3 linked regions of the Saccharomyces cerevisiae S288C genome follow. The gene in region 3 interacts genetically with the main gene of each other region. Each region holds a gene or a part of one and is shown on either strand. Other genes may lie near its edges.

Evidence for each region.
Region 1: mutations in SVP26 (region 3) and YNR061C together harm fitness more than expected from each alone (negative genetic interaction), as found in Saccharomyces cerevisiae (one large-scale study listed by BioGRID).
Region 2: mutations in SVP26 (region 3) and MST1 impair growth when combined (synthetic growth defect), as found in Saccharomyces cerevisiae (one large-scale study listed by BioGRID).

The regions. Positions count from the first base shown.
Region 1 is NC_001146.8:741,164-745,375, reverse strand, and holds YNR061C (uncharacterized protein), read left to right. Parts: upstream 1-1,835; coding exon 1,836-2,495; downstream 2,496-4,212. Other genes in the region: PUL3 (Pul3p), read left to right, coding at 33-1,016; FRE4 (ferric-chelate reductase), read right to left, coding at 3,266-4,212.
Region 2 is NC_001143.9:75,541-80,622, reverse strand, and holds MST1 (threonine--tRNA ligase MST1), read left to right. Parts: upstream 1-1,976; coding exon 1,977-3,365; downstream 3,366-5,082. Other genes in the region: ACP1 (acyl carrier protein), read left to right, coding at 86-463; type 1 protein phosphatase-activating protein SDS22, read left to right, coding at 741-1,757; MIA40 (Mia40p), read right to left, coding at 3,591-4,802.
Region 3 is NC_001140.6:463,982-469,394, reverse strand, and holds SVP26 (Svp26p), read right to left. Parts: upstream 2,168-5,413; coding exon 1,481-2,167; downstream 1-1,480. Other genes in the region: RGD3 (Rgd3p), read right to left, coding at 1-1,176; YHR180W (uncharacterized protein), read right to left, coding at 3,726-4,217. UniProt on the Saccharomyces cerevisiae protein: Plays a role in retention of a subset of membrane proteins in the early Golgi compartments. Facilitates endoplasmic reticulum to Golgi transport of mannosyltransferases MNN2 and MNN5.

The DNA.
Region 1 (4,212 bases), on a different chromosome or scaffold from region 3:
CTGCTTCTGGTGCTATAGTGTTCAGTTACATCATGTCAATTGCACAAGATAGGGGTATCGTTTTCAAGCTTCTATCAATTTATCGAGCAGCGGCTGGTATCTTCATGGCGTTGGCACAATTAATTGTCATATTTTTTGGATATTGCGATTTTAAAATTAAAGGGTATCGCATTGCCTCTTACAATGCACCGACATTTGCCTCCAGTTTCATAATTCTTGCAGTATGCCTTTTATTAGTTGTCGTTCTGGAAAATCCTGAGGTTAAAGTTACAAATTCGGAAAATAGCCTTTTCAGTGCTCTGAAACAATTTTTTAGAGTCGAAAGAAAAAAACTCATCTCCTGCTTGATTTTACTATGGAGCATGTTCCTATCGTCATTTATTATGAGCGAAGTAGTTTATTTTATGCCACTATTCCTGACGCTCCACGTTAACTGGGACACCAAGTTTCAAGGCATAGCGTTTATGGTCGCATCTATACTTGGTGTGACTGGAAGCTATTTCGCTCCAAAGTTAATAAACGTCGGGTGCTCCTGCGGCAGAGCCAAAGATGGCGGATTAGAAGAGTCAGATACAACTGGAAGTGAGACCGTTGAGGTAAAGAAAAAAGATTCGCTGTACAGCGGTCAAGTTTTTCTGTCCATCTTTGCATTGTTTGTTTCATTGCTGGGACAAGCTTTTATGATTGGAGCATCCGAAGCCTTGAAGCATAAATCAATGCCACCCACAAATTCTGGTATATTTTTTTCAGCTGGGATGTCGATTACATTGTTAGGGTACAACTTTTTGGCTTCGAGCATTCCAGCCCTTTTTTCCATGTACATCGACCCCAAACTCAAGGTCCAGTTGATGCCTTCAATTGGAGCAATCTCTGGGATTGGTAAACTGGTGGCACCGATTGTATTAGCAGCTCTTTATGGCACAAGATTGGGGCTTTCAATTGCGGTTGGATTTGGTATGATTTTGGTAGCTGTTTCAATTCCACCGCTTATTTGGCTCAGGAAAAAAAGGTGTTAGATTTCCTTAGACATATACTGGTCCAAATCCAGCTATATATCGGGTGCCATTGACGTATATTTTTTCGAAGAACTTGGACGACAAAAAGTCAGCCTCTTTTTTATGGCGTTCTATCAACAAATTTTACATTTGGAAATGATAGTGTATTATCTTTACCATTTCTATAGTGATATATCCGGACTAATCTTTTAGCGGCCATAAATAAATATTACTAATATTTAAAGTTTCCTTCTGATTTATTCTTCTATTATATTCAAACCAGTTGTGGAAAAGTGTGTGCCTCTTTTATATGGCACTTTATACTGAATGATGTAATCAGTTTGCATGGACGCCAAAGCTTGTATTTTAACCAAGGTTTTTTAGAGTTTGGCCGCTTCAAAGTTAAAGACGTTAGGCAATTCGCATAACCTTTTCTTTAATCTCAATATATTATTCTAATCTTATTCTGCAAATTGTCATTGGAATTCGCTTCCGATTTGCTGTACTGCTTGCTGAATAATATCTGCTCTTGCATTGGCAGGTGAGAAATGAATACTATCTTTTAAGGATGTTGGTTTATAATCTCTCGGAGACTAAAAACCAACTTCTCAAAATGATTTATGTATTTGCCCAAAGTTAAAATTGCGTGTTTCCAATTACGTATGCGATATGTAAAAAAATTAAAAAAGTGAATGAATAAGCGACTTTTCGAGTTGCTATTTTTTTCTTGGTTCAACAGAAGTAAAATATAATCAACCATAAATAGGAGAATACAGGCGGTGCTTACAGCTTGATATTTTGTTACCAAGTCAAGATCTATAATAATAACTCAATACATATATGTTAAAGTTAACAACAACATCCGTTACTTTCCACGTACTAAGATATTTCCAACTTGGCTTATCTGTAACTAACTTGTTGTTAGCTAGTTTTGCCATAATCACAAACTATAAAGTGGATCGAATCCTTAGATTGAGCTTAGCTGTTTCAATCATATCTTCAGTTTATTTTGGGATTGTGAGATTTTTGCCTGTTCTGTTAATATTCGTGATGGAAATTGTTCAGACCGTCCTGTGGTTTACCGCTTTCGTAACTCTAGCTTCAAAATTTGGTTCTATGTCCTGCTCAAGTATGCCACGGGGTATAAACTTTGATTATTCAGGTTCTTGTAAGATTGCTAAAATAGATATTTTACCAGAAGCCGTTTTATTCATACTATTTCTCGCTACCACATATGCTTCTTATATCACAGTCCTATCTCAAGCTAAGGAAAATGGGTCAAGCACAAGATCTGTTTTGAAGGCTTGTGTGAAGGCATTACGTGATACCGTGGACCGCTTGGAGACCAGTCTGGAAGAGAGTGAGCCTCTTTTAGATCTTGAAGTTCAGGAAGATGCGAGGACTGAAACCGAAAGCATTGAGGATTCAACTGATAGTGAGGATAATGCTAACATCGAACAAGAGAAAGTGATTGATGGTTCAATTGAGCATTCTTCATGATGAACCAAATGTCTTGTAGTGCATGCTGTTTCTGACTTTGCTTAATGGATTTTTTTAGTTCGACGATGTTCCGTATATTTTAGAGGCACACACTTTCACTTTTCCTATGTTGAGTAATGAAGGCATTTGAAGTTACGGAACCTTATAGGTGTCAGCACGCTGTCATTCCAGATAATTTTGTGTCTCCCTTACCTCCACATATGAATTTGGAATACCAATAATTACCTCTTAAAAGGTTTCAGAAGACGTTTACTATTTAATTCTTAGCTACACATCATATAGTTATTAATTCAATATATTACTTTTGGTACTGCATTCTAAAACACTAAAGTATAACCTCCGAACATTATATAGGTGTTTATTGAGTTATTTTTTGAAGAAATAGTCCACTAGAAATTGCTTGGGATGCGGGATTCCTTTTTCTCTTGGTCCTTACATTATACACCAATTTTATCTTTATAAGAAAATACAGGTAGTTAAATTAAGTACATGAACGCTGAAGATCGATTGGTTCATATTCTATCGGCAATTGGTGTGTTATACAATTCAGAGTTACTAAATATGAAGCTTCTGTCATCTTACGTATGATTTTTCTGCTTTTTAATACGATTATTTTTCTGAAAAAGTGTTATTTGAAACAACTTAAGCCTCAGTAGTTAGAATCAATCAACAAGAGTCCCCTAAAAAAGGCGCAAACCATCTACGTTAATGAAATTACAACAGTTAGAGGATATTATACATTGAGTGTTTACTTAAATATGAAAAATTGTTCACCAGGCTTGGTATTCCTCCAAGTATTCAATCATTCTTGATGGGTTTCTGATAACAGCTTTGGCAGTTTGATTTCTAGCGGTGTCGACGAAAATAGGTGGTCCGCAACATACGACGGCAAGTGAACCAGAATGGTTAACAGATTCATTTAGTATTTCTTCAACATTTGGCCTTCCAACATGGAAAGTGGCAAATTCTAAATCGGAGATAGACGTGTCATTCAGGGAAAGAGGTAGTTCTGTATTTTCACTTTCAGAAGGAGCTTTTTCTGAATTGCTTAGACTAGATGGGGCCTTCTCTGCTGTCGTTTCACCGTTTTTGACTTCATTTGAGGAAATTTTTTCAGCCGAAGCTAGCTCTTGCTTAGAATTATAAATGTGAACTTGAACATTCAAGCCCTTTAATGCCATTAGTTCTTTCTTACACGCGTTGAGCATGTCTAGTCCTCTTACTGCTATGACTAACTGTACAAAGTTTTTACCGCTTGCAGCTGTTGTCTTTCCTAATTCAAGGGCATGAGAAATTGGACCGGGAAGCCCTGAGCCACCTGCCAACAATAATACATTATCAAAGCGATGGGCGGTGGACTTGGAGCCATAAGGGCCTTCGATAGCTAATCTCATGGATGCCTTGCCGCCTTTACGTTCAACAAAGTTTCTTACCAGTTTTGTCACACCTTTCTTTGCTTTCAGAACGATGACCAATTCTCTATCGTTTACGCAAGAATCCATCACTGTAAATGGATGCGACTGCCAGAAGCACAATGGACGCAAGAAGGAAACGAAAACGTATTGGCCTGGTTTTGCCTTCCAAAACTTCTTTGGTTTTTTAACCGTTACACGGACCAAATCAGATCCAACCAGTTGTAGATCTGCTTTAGGAAATCCTAAGAGTGCAATTCTGGTGATACGTACAATTCTATCAACTCCCCAAATTGCTATTGCCG
Region 2 (5,082 bases), on a different chromosome or scaffold from region 3:
TGACGAAGCAAAAGGAAGAATAGTCACACTTGCAGTGTAATTAGTACAAACAACACAACTAACTCAATACAGCACCTTCCTTGCCATGTTTAGATCCGTTTGCCGCATTTCTTCCCGCGTGGCACCTTCTGCGTACCGCACTATAATGGGCCGTTCCGTTATGTCCAACACCATACTCGCACAAAGATTTTATTCTGCAAACTTGAGCAAAGATCAGGTTTCTCAAAGGGTCATTGATGTTATCAAGGCGTTTGATAAGAACTCTCCCAACATTGCCAACAAGCAAATCTCCAGCGATACCCAATTTCACAAGGATTTGGGGTTGGACTCCTTGGACACTGTCGAGCTGCTCGTAGCTATTGAAGAAGAATTTGATATTGAAATCCCTGACAAAGTGGCTGATGAGTTGAGAAGTGTTGGTGAAACGGTCGATTATATCGCTTCCAATCCCGACGCAAACTAAGTGTCCGTCCCCGCTCTATTATATTGTATCGTGTCACCCCCATGTCATATTATATTCGTATGTATATAAATAGATCGATTGACCCGTATATATATATATCTATATAACCAGCCCTGTTAATACTATACTTTACTCTCTCCTCCCTTTTTCTCGTTGTTTGTTATTTTGGCCCCGAATTATTATATATTAAGGTACTGTTGAAAAATAAAACATGTATAACCTTTTGAATGAAAATAGCAAGAAGTCGGAAGAAATCTAGCACCACATAGCCATCATTATGGATAAGAATTCAGTTAACAAAGATAGTGAAGAAAAAGACGAAAGACACAAGATTGAGGTTGTAGACGATACAAATCCTGACTTCATCACTGCAGATTCGGAACTGACACAAGATCTGCCTGATGATGTAGAGGTTATTGACTTGGTCCATCTAAAAATCAAATCGTTAGAAGATTTGAACCTTTATAGGTTCAAGAATTTGAAACAATTATGTCTCAGACAGAACCTGATCGAAAGCATAAGCGAAGTGGAAGTTTTACCCCATGACAAGATTGTTGACCTTGATTTTTACGATAACAAAATTAAACATATCTCCTCTAATGTTAATAAGCTCACCAAATTAACGTCTCTAGACCTGTCGTTTAACAAGATCAAGCACATCAAAAATCTAGAAAATTTGACTGATCTGGAGAATTTATACTTCGTGCAGAACAGCATTTCCAAAATTGAAAATCTGTCCACTTTGAAATCACTGAAAAACTTAGAATTAGGTGGTAATAAGGTTCATTCTATTGAACCCGATTCCTTCGAAGGTCTGTCAAACTTGGAAGAAATTTGGTTGGGTAAAAATTCCATACCAAGACTTATTAACTTACATCCTTTAAAGAATTTGAAGATATTGTCCATCCAATCTAATAAATTAAAAAAAATTGAAAATCTAGAAGAGTTGACCAATCTTGAAGAGCTCTATCTGTCACATAATTTCATCACCAAGATTGAAGGTCTAGAGAAAAACCTAAAACTAACTACTTTGGACGTGACCTCCAACAAAATTACCTCCCTGGAAAACTTGAACCACCTGTCAAATTTAACTGACATATGGGCCTCCTTTAACAAGATAGATCAATCCTTTGAGAGCTTGGGTGAAAACCTGTCCGCCCTATCACGCTTGGAGACCATTTATCTGGAGGGAAACCCTATTCAACTGGAAAATAAGACTTCGTATAGAAGAAAACTGACTATGAACTTACCTCCATCCCTACAGAAGATTGATGCGACATATATAAGAGGCTGATCTTGATCAAGAAATGATTTTTTTTTTATATACACACACAAACATATATATATATATATATATATAATGTAGGATTTTGATCCTTTTAAAAAAAACTGAATAATCCATCTAGTTAAAGTTCGCCCTTAAAAACCTCGAGCATGAAAAAAAGAAGAGCTGCTGAACTACATAAAGAAAAACATATGCAATAGCTAAGGGCACGTCCTTCTGTCTCGCAATATGAAAATACAACTTGTAAGATGGCATTGTTCTCGCAATGCTCTTTGGAATCGTGCTTTCTACTCTACGAGAAAGGCCACTAAGAACGCTTCGTCGGCGACTCCAGCTACTATGACATCCATGGTATCTCAGAGGCAAGATCTTTTCATGACAGATCCACTATCTCCTGGATCCATGTTCTTTCTTCCAAATGGTGCTAAGATTTTCAACAAATTGATAGAGTTTATGAAGTTACAACAAAAGTTCAAATTTGGTTTTAATGAAGTTGTGACGCCTTTGATTTACAAAAAGACTCTTTGGGAAAAGTCTGGTCACTGGGAAAATTATGCTGATGACATGTTTAAGGTGGAAACTACGGATGAAGAAAAGGAGGAATACGGTTTAAAACCGATGAATTGCCCAGGCCATTGTCTGATCTTCGGTAAAAAGGATAGATCGTATAACGAACTTCCCCTACGCTTCTCTGATTTTTCACCACTACATAGAAATGAAGCTTCTGGTGCACTGTCGGGATTGACTAGACTAAGGAAGTTCCATCAAGACGATGGTCATATCTTTTGCACTCCTTCCCAAGTGAAATCAGAAATTTTCAACTCTTTAAAATTAATCGACATAGTTTACAACAAAATTTTCCCCTTTGTTAAAGGAGGTTCTGGAGCAGAGAGCAATTATTTTATAAACTTTTCTACAAGACCGGATCACTTCATTGGAGACCTCAAAGTTTGGAATCATGCTGAGCAAGTACTCAAGGAAATCTTGGAAGAATCAGGCAAACCGTGGAAACTGAACCCTGGTGATGGTGCGTTCTATGGTCCAAAGTTGGATATAATGGTTACGGACCATTTACGCAAAACTCATCAAGTCGCTACTATTCAGTTGGACTTTCAGCTACCTGAGAGGTTCGATTTGAAATTCAAGGATCAAGACAACTCGTACAAGAGGCCAATTATGATTCATAGAGCTACTTTTGGTTCTATCGAAAGATTTATGGCTTTACTGATAGATTCTAATGAGGGCCGTTGGCCGTTTTGGTTGAATCCTTACCAAGCTGTAATTATTCCCGTCAATACGAAAAATGTGCAACAGCTAGACATGTGCACTGCCTTGCAGAAAAAACTACGTAATGAACTGGAAGCCGACGACATGGAACCAGTTCCTTTAAATGATTGGCATTTCAATGTTGATCTCGACATAAGAAACGAACCCGTAGGGTATAGGATCAAGTCGGCCATTTTGAAAAACTATTCCTATTTAATTATCGTGGGTGATGAGGAAGTACAGTTACAGAAATACAACATTCGAGAACGTGATAATAGAAAGAGTTTCGAGAAACTTACAATGTCTCAAATTTGGGAAAAATTTATTGAGCTGGAAAAAAACTACAAGTAACTTAAAATATATGACAAACTTGCCCTGTAAATAAAAGGATACGATTTGATGTATAGCTGGATTCATACAGAGACTAGACTCATCCGCCCCACAGATGCATTAATTCATGTATATTTCACATATTATACCATATGTAGTCATTAAACTAAGATAATATTACTGTATTTACATGTATCATCCTTTATACTTTTATACTTTTTACGTTCGGGAGATTTTCAGGAGATTTTAAGGTTTGGATTCCTCATTCAATGGTTCTTTTTTCACATCTGATTGCTCTGCTTTTTTCGCAGCATTTTCCTTTGCGCTTGAAACATTTGGCGCTGATTCTATTGTGTTGACCTTTACTTTGTCTTGAGGTTCCTCATCATCAGATGTTTCCTTTAGTTGTTCTGCATAATGCTCGGGGTATTTTCTGAAACAGTCTTGCATATGTTGAAACTTTTCAACACAGTCGATACCTTTTGGTTCAGCTTCAGAATAGACGAAGCAAGAAAATGCAGATTTGAACTCTTCACCACAGGGTCCATGGGCCATACCTCCCAAGCAAGGACAGTCCCAATTTATCTCACCAGTGTCTGGGTTATAAGCACCTTCGTGTTGAACCTCTTCTTCAGTAGGACCCATTTGCTTTTCCTCTTGTTTTCTTAGTTCTTCTTTCTCTTCATCGCTAGATTCAGATTGCTTAGCTGAATTTTCCGAGTCACTTACAGTTTTTTTTGAGGATTCTTCTTCTCCATTATTATCTTCAGTAGTTGTCTTGTCATCAGATTGTCCCTGTTGCGATTTTTCATCATCTGAATGTTCTGGATCTTTTTTTTCAGAAGATCCAGCATTGTTGTCTAGTGTTTTGTCACTAGTATTTTCTTCCGAGTTCTCAGAACTTATGTTTTCATCCTTTTGATTGTTAGCGGTGGCATTGTCTTCATTGGATTGCTCATCATCTTTGGTTGATACCTTTGATTCATCAGTATCTTTATCTTCGGAAGACTTGTTGTCTTCTTCTGCTAGAACAACCAATTCACCATCTTCAGCTACTTTTGAAGCACCAATTTTATCACCCCCTAATTGAGGGCCAGCTTCAGTTTCATCGTTTTTGCTGTCGTTGTCATCTCCATTTTCATCGCTTTTGCTGTTGTTGTCATCTTCATTTTCTGGTGATTGCTCACCACCACTGGAAAGCTCTTCCTCTGCGGTTTTATCGGATTCTACCTTCCTTGAGGCGAAAAGAGGCTTCCTATTAGGAGCAATAAAATATAAAGCACCAGCCATAGAAAGAATCCCCATTATAAAGCCCGCTGTTTTTTCCTGATTGGAGTTCCTACCGAACTGAGGGGAGGACGCCATGAGACGTCTTGTTTGGTGTCGGCATAACCCCCTTGCCACTTGAATTGACGGCCTGTTTCTGCACGCATTCCTGACGACTAAGTTGCGAAGCATTTTACTGATAATATACACTCTTTGGATCGAGCCTACTTCCAGTTGGTAATTGGTGTTCCACAATTTCAGCATTATATGTTTTTAAACCAAAATTCGGCTCCTTTTCCCTTTTTTTCTTATTGGGTGGCGTGCCGTACAGAACGATTGGCTTGGTGTGAAATCAAGAGCAAGCACAATAGATATCAACATGAACAATATACAAAAGTCTCTGGCACAGTTTGACTGCGTTAGACCAGGCTAGGGCATTTCTGAAGCTTTACGTATCACTAGAGAAGTTATT
Region 3 (5,413 bases):
GGAGAAAAAAATATCTTGTGATGATTCAAGTTGCTGTTTTAAACTCTTCCACTCATTTTTATTCATATCTGTACTTCCCGCTGCATCGCAATCATCATTATCATGTTGACTAACTTTGCGGATCCAATCGGATATAGATGTTTTGATAGATGAAACGTTGGACTTTTCTTCGTGTTCATTGTCGGAGTGTGTTAACTCACCATACGATTTTTTTTTTCTGTTTCCAGCATTACCATTACTCTCTTGCGTAGCAAGGACTTCACTGTTCCAGTAATAGTATTTTTCCTGGTCAAACTGAGAAACTTTGCTAGAGTAAAAACTCAGGGAATATTCTTGTATTATACCCAGTTGGATGAATTCGTTACCTATCCTATCGATATTAAATAAGGACAGGTTTAGTCTGGGTTCAAGTTTTTTCAATTCTTTGATCAATGACCTGCCTTGGAAACTTTGATTTGACAATCCTGGAACGGAAAAGACACTTTTCTCCAGGATGACTTTTCCCTTCAAGGTTTGCAAAAATGACATAAATTGGTCGCAATCCTCAAATTTTAACCTCTCGTCTAAAGTGTAAGGAAACTCGCATACGAAGTTCAACCTGGTTAACGGTGCACTATCCTTTCCATTATCAAAAACAGAGGAAGAATTTTCCACTGGCGTATTGGCTTTTTTCAATTTATATATAGACTGAACTCTTTTCTCACATCCAATTAGTGCCTCTTTAGCTGCGACTAAATCCTTAATGTAAGCTGAATAACGAGATGACAAATCGTTTTCTGCCTCACGAAGGAAGCTCTCATTAAGATCTCTTAGTTCTTGCAATGGAATTTTACAATCTCTTTCAACTTGCTCTGTTGATATTATATTAAACTGTTTGCTCATCACTTCCAGCAGCCTGCTATTCATTGAATTGGTTGCTTCCATTTTTTGTAAATTGTTCAATGTTGGTTTCCAAAATTTGTTGACAAAATCATTGTAAAATTTGATGTCTTTAATCAGCAAATCATTTTCTCTCTTCATATGTTTTATGAATAATTTGATACCTGTTGTATAGTCTTTGGTCCAATATGTGTTCCTTAGTGAAATTTTAACTGAGTCGCAATCAATGGAGAGTTGCCTCGAATTCTGTAATTCATCACCAATAATATCTTCTTCGTTATGCTCTTTAACAGACATAACTAGAGACCGAAAGAAAATGCTCTCTTTCTCTTGCCTTTGTCTATGTAATGACAATACTTAATCTACTGGGCCTGACTGGTTTTTTGTTTACTAGTTGCTCTAAAAAATGCAAACGTCAATAAAAAAGAAAAATATGGAAAAGAAAATATACTTTCCCGTATTAACTTGGGTAAAATATAGTAGTATTGTATTGGTGATTTTTCTTTCCTGTGCAAAATAGTTGGCAGAGCATTACACATATTTCTTATTTAGAATATTCAAATAAAGAAAAACTAACTACATGTTAAAAAAAAAGGCAATCCTAAACAGCCAATCTATCAAAGTCAGGTTCTATCTCATAACCGAATACACGGGCTAGAGAGTAGATGTACTTCCTTACCGAGTTGATGACTACACGAGCTAACCCAACAGCCCTTTTACGAAATTTTGGCTGGTTGTTCGTTGTGATGTCATCATTTTTCTTAGCCATATGTTGCTCACTAGTCGTTGGTAGCACATAATCACCAGCTGACAGAGAAACAAATAAGGCAAATGGTATGAACCAAACGCATATACCAAAAAATGAGGCTACTTCAGCGAAACTAGCACGTCTGCGTGGTATATAATTTGGATCAAATTTGAACTGTGGGGGAACTTCCGTATCATTAAAATATTTGAACCAGAAGTAGTGATTCAAGACCACACATACGCAGCTTAATAGGAAAGTTGGGCTGGTTAACGAAATAAATGGGAAACTTTTTAAGTTTTGGTAATATACTATGTAACATGCAATGGAAAAAAGTGTAAGTTTGAACGGGAAACCGTCTAGTAACAGTAGCAGAATTAATATTAATATTATACCATAAATAGCCCTTGTGAGAAACCGTCTTGTGGGTTCTGTGTGTTCTTCAACAAGTTCACTAATGTAGTATAAACCCGATGCAATTGAAAGTGTTAAAAAAAGAAACCCTGAAACGGTTCCTGCATAAGAAATCAATTCTAACAGCATGGTTTTATTCTAACAATTTCTTTTCTCCCTTTTGCTCTTTTTCTCACTTGTCAACTATATGTTTTTAGTTTTAATTTTCACATTGACCATTCAACCTTTAAAAAATCATAAAGTTATAAATGATAGAGAAATAAGAACAAAGGGAAAAAAAATAATACCGGTATAATGCCACCTGCCAGAATTGAACTAGCGACCTTTGCATTACAAGTGCAACGCTCTACCACTAAGCTAAGGAGGCTAAAAATACAACTATGTTGTATCTCAAAATAAGATACGTCAGTATGACAATACGTCATCCCAAACGTTCATAAAACACACATAACAAACGAATAGAATGAGTAACATAACTGTTGGAATGCGAGAATGAGATATTTGTGAATTTTGAGATAATTTGTGGGAATCCATTGTTCACAAAGACAATAATATTAGGTATATAGAATATGCTAGAAGTTCTCCTAGAGGATATAGGAATCCTCAAAATGGAATCGATATTTCTACATGATAATATTAGGATTATTCCTCATTCCGTTTTATATGTTTCATTATCCCATTACATTATCAATCCTTGCACTTCAGCGTCCATTAAGTTCGATGACTGTGTCCCAATCCTATGTCATCTTCTTACACCGCATGTAATAATATAATAGTAATATGACTACTATAAATAGATGACATTTTAGAGTTTCATGTCTTCATAAATGTTTGGCAGGAAGTTTGAAAAGATGGAACGTGCTGCTGCTGATGTAAGGGTCTGAATAAAACCGGATGTCTTGGCAATCCTAATGTCGCTAGGATAGTTGCTTGTCTTTCCAACAAAAGATATAATTCACAAATATTTCTCTGTGCTCCGCATATATTTGGCTTGATGTTTTAAATAGTTTGTGAGTAGTAATTCAATACAAATACTATCAAGCTTTAAGATTCATTATTTCACCAAAATAATCAGTTTTTGTTTTATATGAGGTTGAGTGTCTCAGCTAACTTATGATAAGCTATCTTTAACATGACAAACGGGATGTGATATTTGTTGTCTTGGCTCCAGATCAGCAGTTGTACTAATCTTGCTTACACTGAGCGTGTTCTATGCATTATCTTTAACACTCTTGTACGTCTTGTTTACCATACTTTGCCATATCCTTGTTCTTAAGAAAGGAATTTTGATCTAACATCTCTGAAATCGTGGCACCGTCTAGTAAAATATTAGACACTACTAACGTTACTAAGGAATAAGGTACAACAATTAAAGTCGCTAGTTCGTGAGATTAAAATCTGTTACATATTCTTAGATTGAGAGTTAACGCTGCATATTTCTCTTTGGTGATGAATTAGTCATAAATTGCATTTGCGTCACTCATTATTGTGCTTCTGTGTGAGAGTATTTTAGGAATTTATATATATATATATATATATATATATATATATATAGTATACTGGCTCCCGAGCCAGATGAGGGGGTATGAGGTTTCGACGCTTAAGGTATTATCTGAATCACAGTCGCATACACTAGTTGACCCTCAGTACAGAGATTCCCACGATTAACGGGCTGAACGGGTCCTGACTAATGTAGTTTTGAGTTCACCTGTTGGTGCAGTATTGTTATCGGCACTGGCACTGGTACTGGCACGGGTGTTTGGAAAAACTCTGTAGCATTCAATGGAGAGATTACTACATGAGTGGCGATCCAACGCGAGACATAATCTGTATTAGCTTCATAACCATACTCTGTCAGTAAGGAGCCATAGTCGACATCTGTAACATTCCTAGTAGTGCCAACTGTACCCGGCATGATATTATCTCTGACATCCCCAAAATACACAGCTGTACCATTTATTAAGTGGTAGATTGAGGGAGAGTCTATTCCACCAAGATAGAATCCGTTTCTTTCGAGAAAAATGACTTCATTAAAATTAAGTCCTGCTGGAATGTTAGTGAAGAATCTCAAAGGATTAGTAAGATCAACATCAGGGAGGGAACTATTGTTGATCGAGGTAGCAGCTAGGTTGAAGAATGTAGCAATAAATGCAACGAGGGTTATCCAGTGCATTTCCATTGGGCACGTTAAATAAGTTGAATATATAATAGTAATTTTAGAGGTTTGATGCAAGTTTGGTAGGAGATTTTATGCCTATAATATATATATTCGACCTCAATGTTCAGATAGTAGTTTTACTGCTTGAATATAGTGTGCGCCTGTACGTTTCGATTGGTTGAATTAAACATGTTCTATATTATAGCAAATTTGAAACTCCGCTGCATGTTTGATGAACGAATTGTGCCCGTTATATATATATATATTAAATCTTACTATTTAATTCCTGGGGTCTTATTTTTTACCTGCATTTAACATTTGAGCAACCATCGGGTCGCATATTCACTTTATGACCGAGGCGACCTCAATGCAACCGCAGGCGAAGATGTACGGTCAGAACCTTTCAGAATGTTATTAGGGCATTTTGTGTGGACAGTGACAAACCAGCTTCTCTAGGTACCCAATAGCGTTTTTACTGGGTATCCTGTTCTTTTTCGGGTAGTCCTTATTCTAGATCTTATTCCAAAAGCTTTCAAGACAAATCAATAAAAGAGCCTATTTGAATGTGCAATACCTTCACACCAGTTTTAGCGTGCCAAAAATCCTTCGTTCATTGAGAACTGAAGCCAGTTTAATTGCAATGGCCCTAATATAAATCTAAGGCCAACAAATACTTGGTCACAGAATGCAAGATATGTAACGATTTTTATAACAGTTTAACAGGAGAGGATAAGGACGAACATAAACGGTAGCACAGCCGTTAAGGGGATATCCTTTCAATTTCTACCCAGCACAAACTTTACGTGTTCTCAATCCACGTCTGCAGTAGAAACTGTCGCACATATAGTAACATAAATTTATATCGTAGTATATTGGAAGAAAGTGGGCGTGGGTGCGAGCGTATACTTTGGAATTTTGACATCGCATTTAATATTGTACCTAAACTCATTTCTACCACCATATGGTCACACTCTCAGATTCATATCAACTTCCTACATTATGCTACTAATCAATATAAAACGCAGGGATATAAACTCTGCACACTTCAATCTGTTGTGATAAAAATAAACTACCATATAGTGACTAGTAGTCATGTTACTACTATATTATTACACGCGGTGTAAGAAGATGACATAGGATTGGGACACAGTCGTCGAAATTAATGGAAGCTGAAATGCAACGATTGATAATGTAATAGGATGATGAATGACAGCATA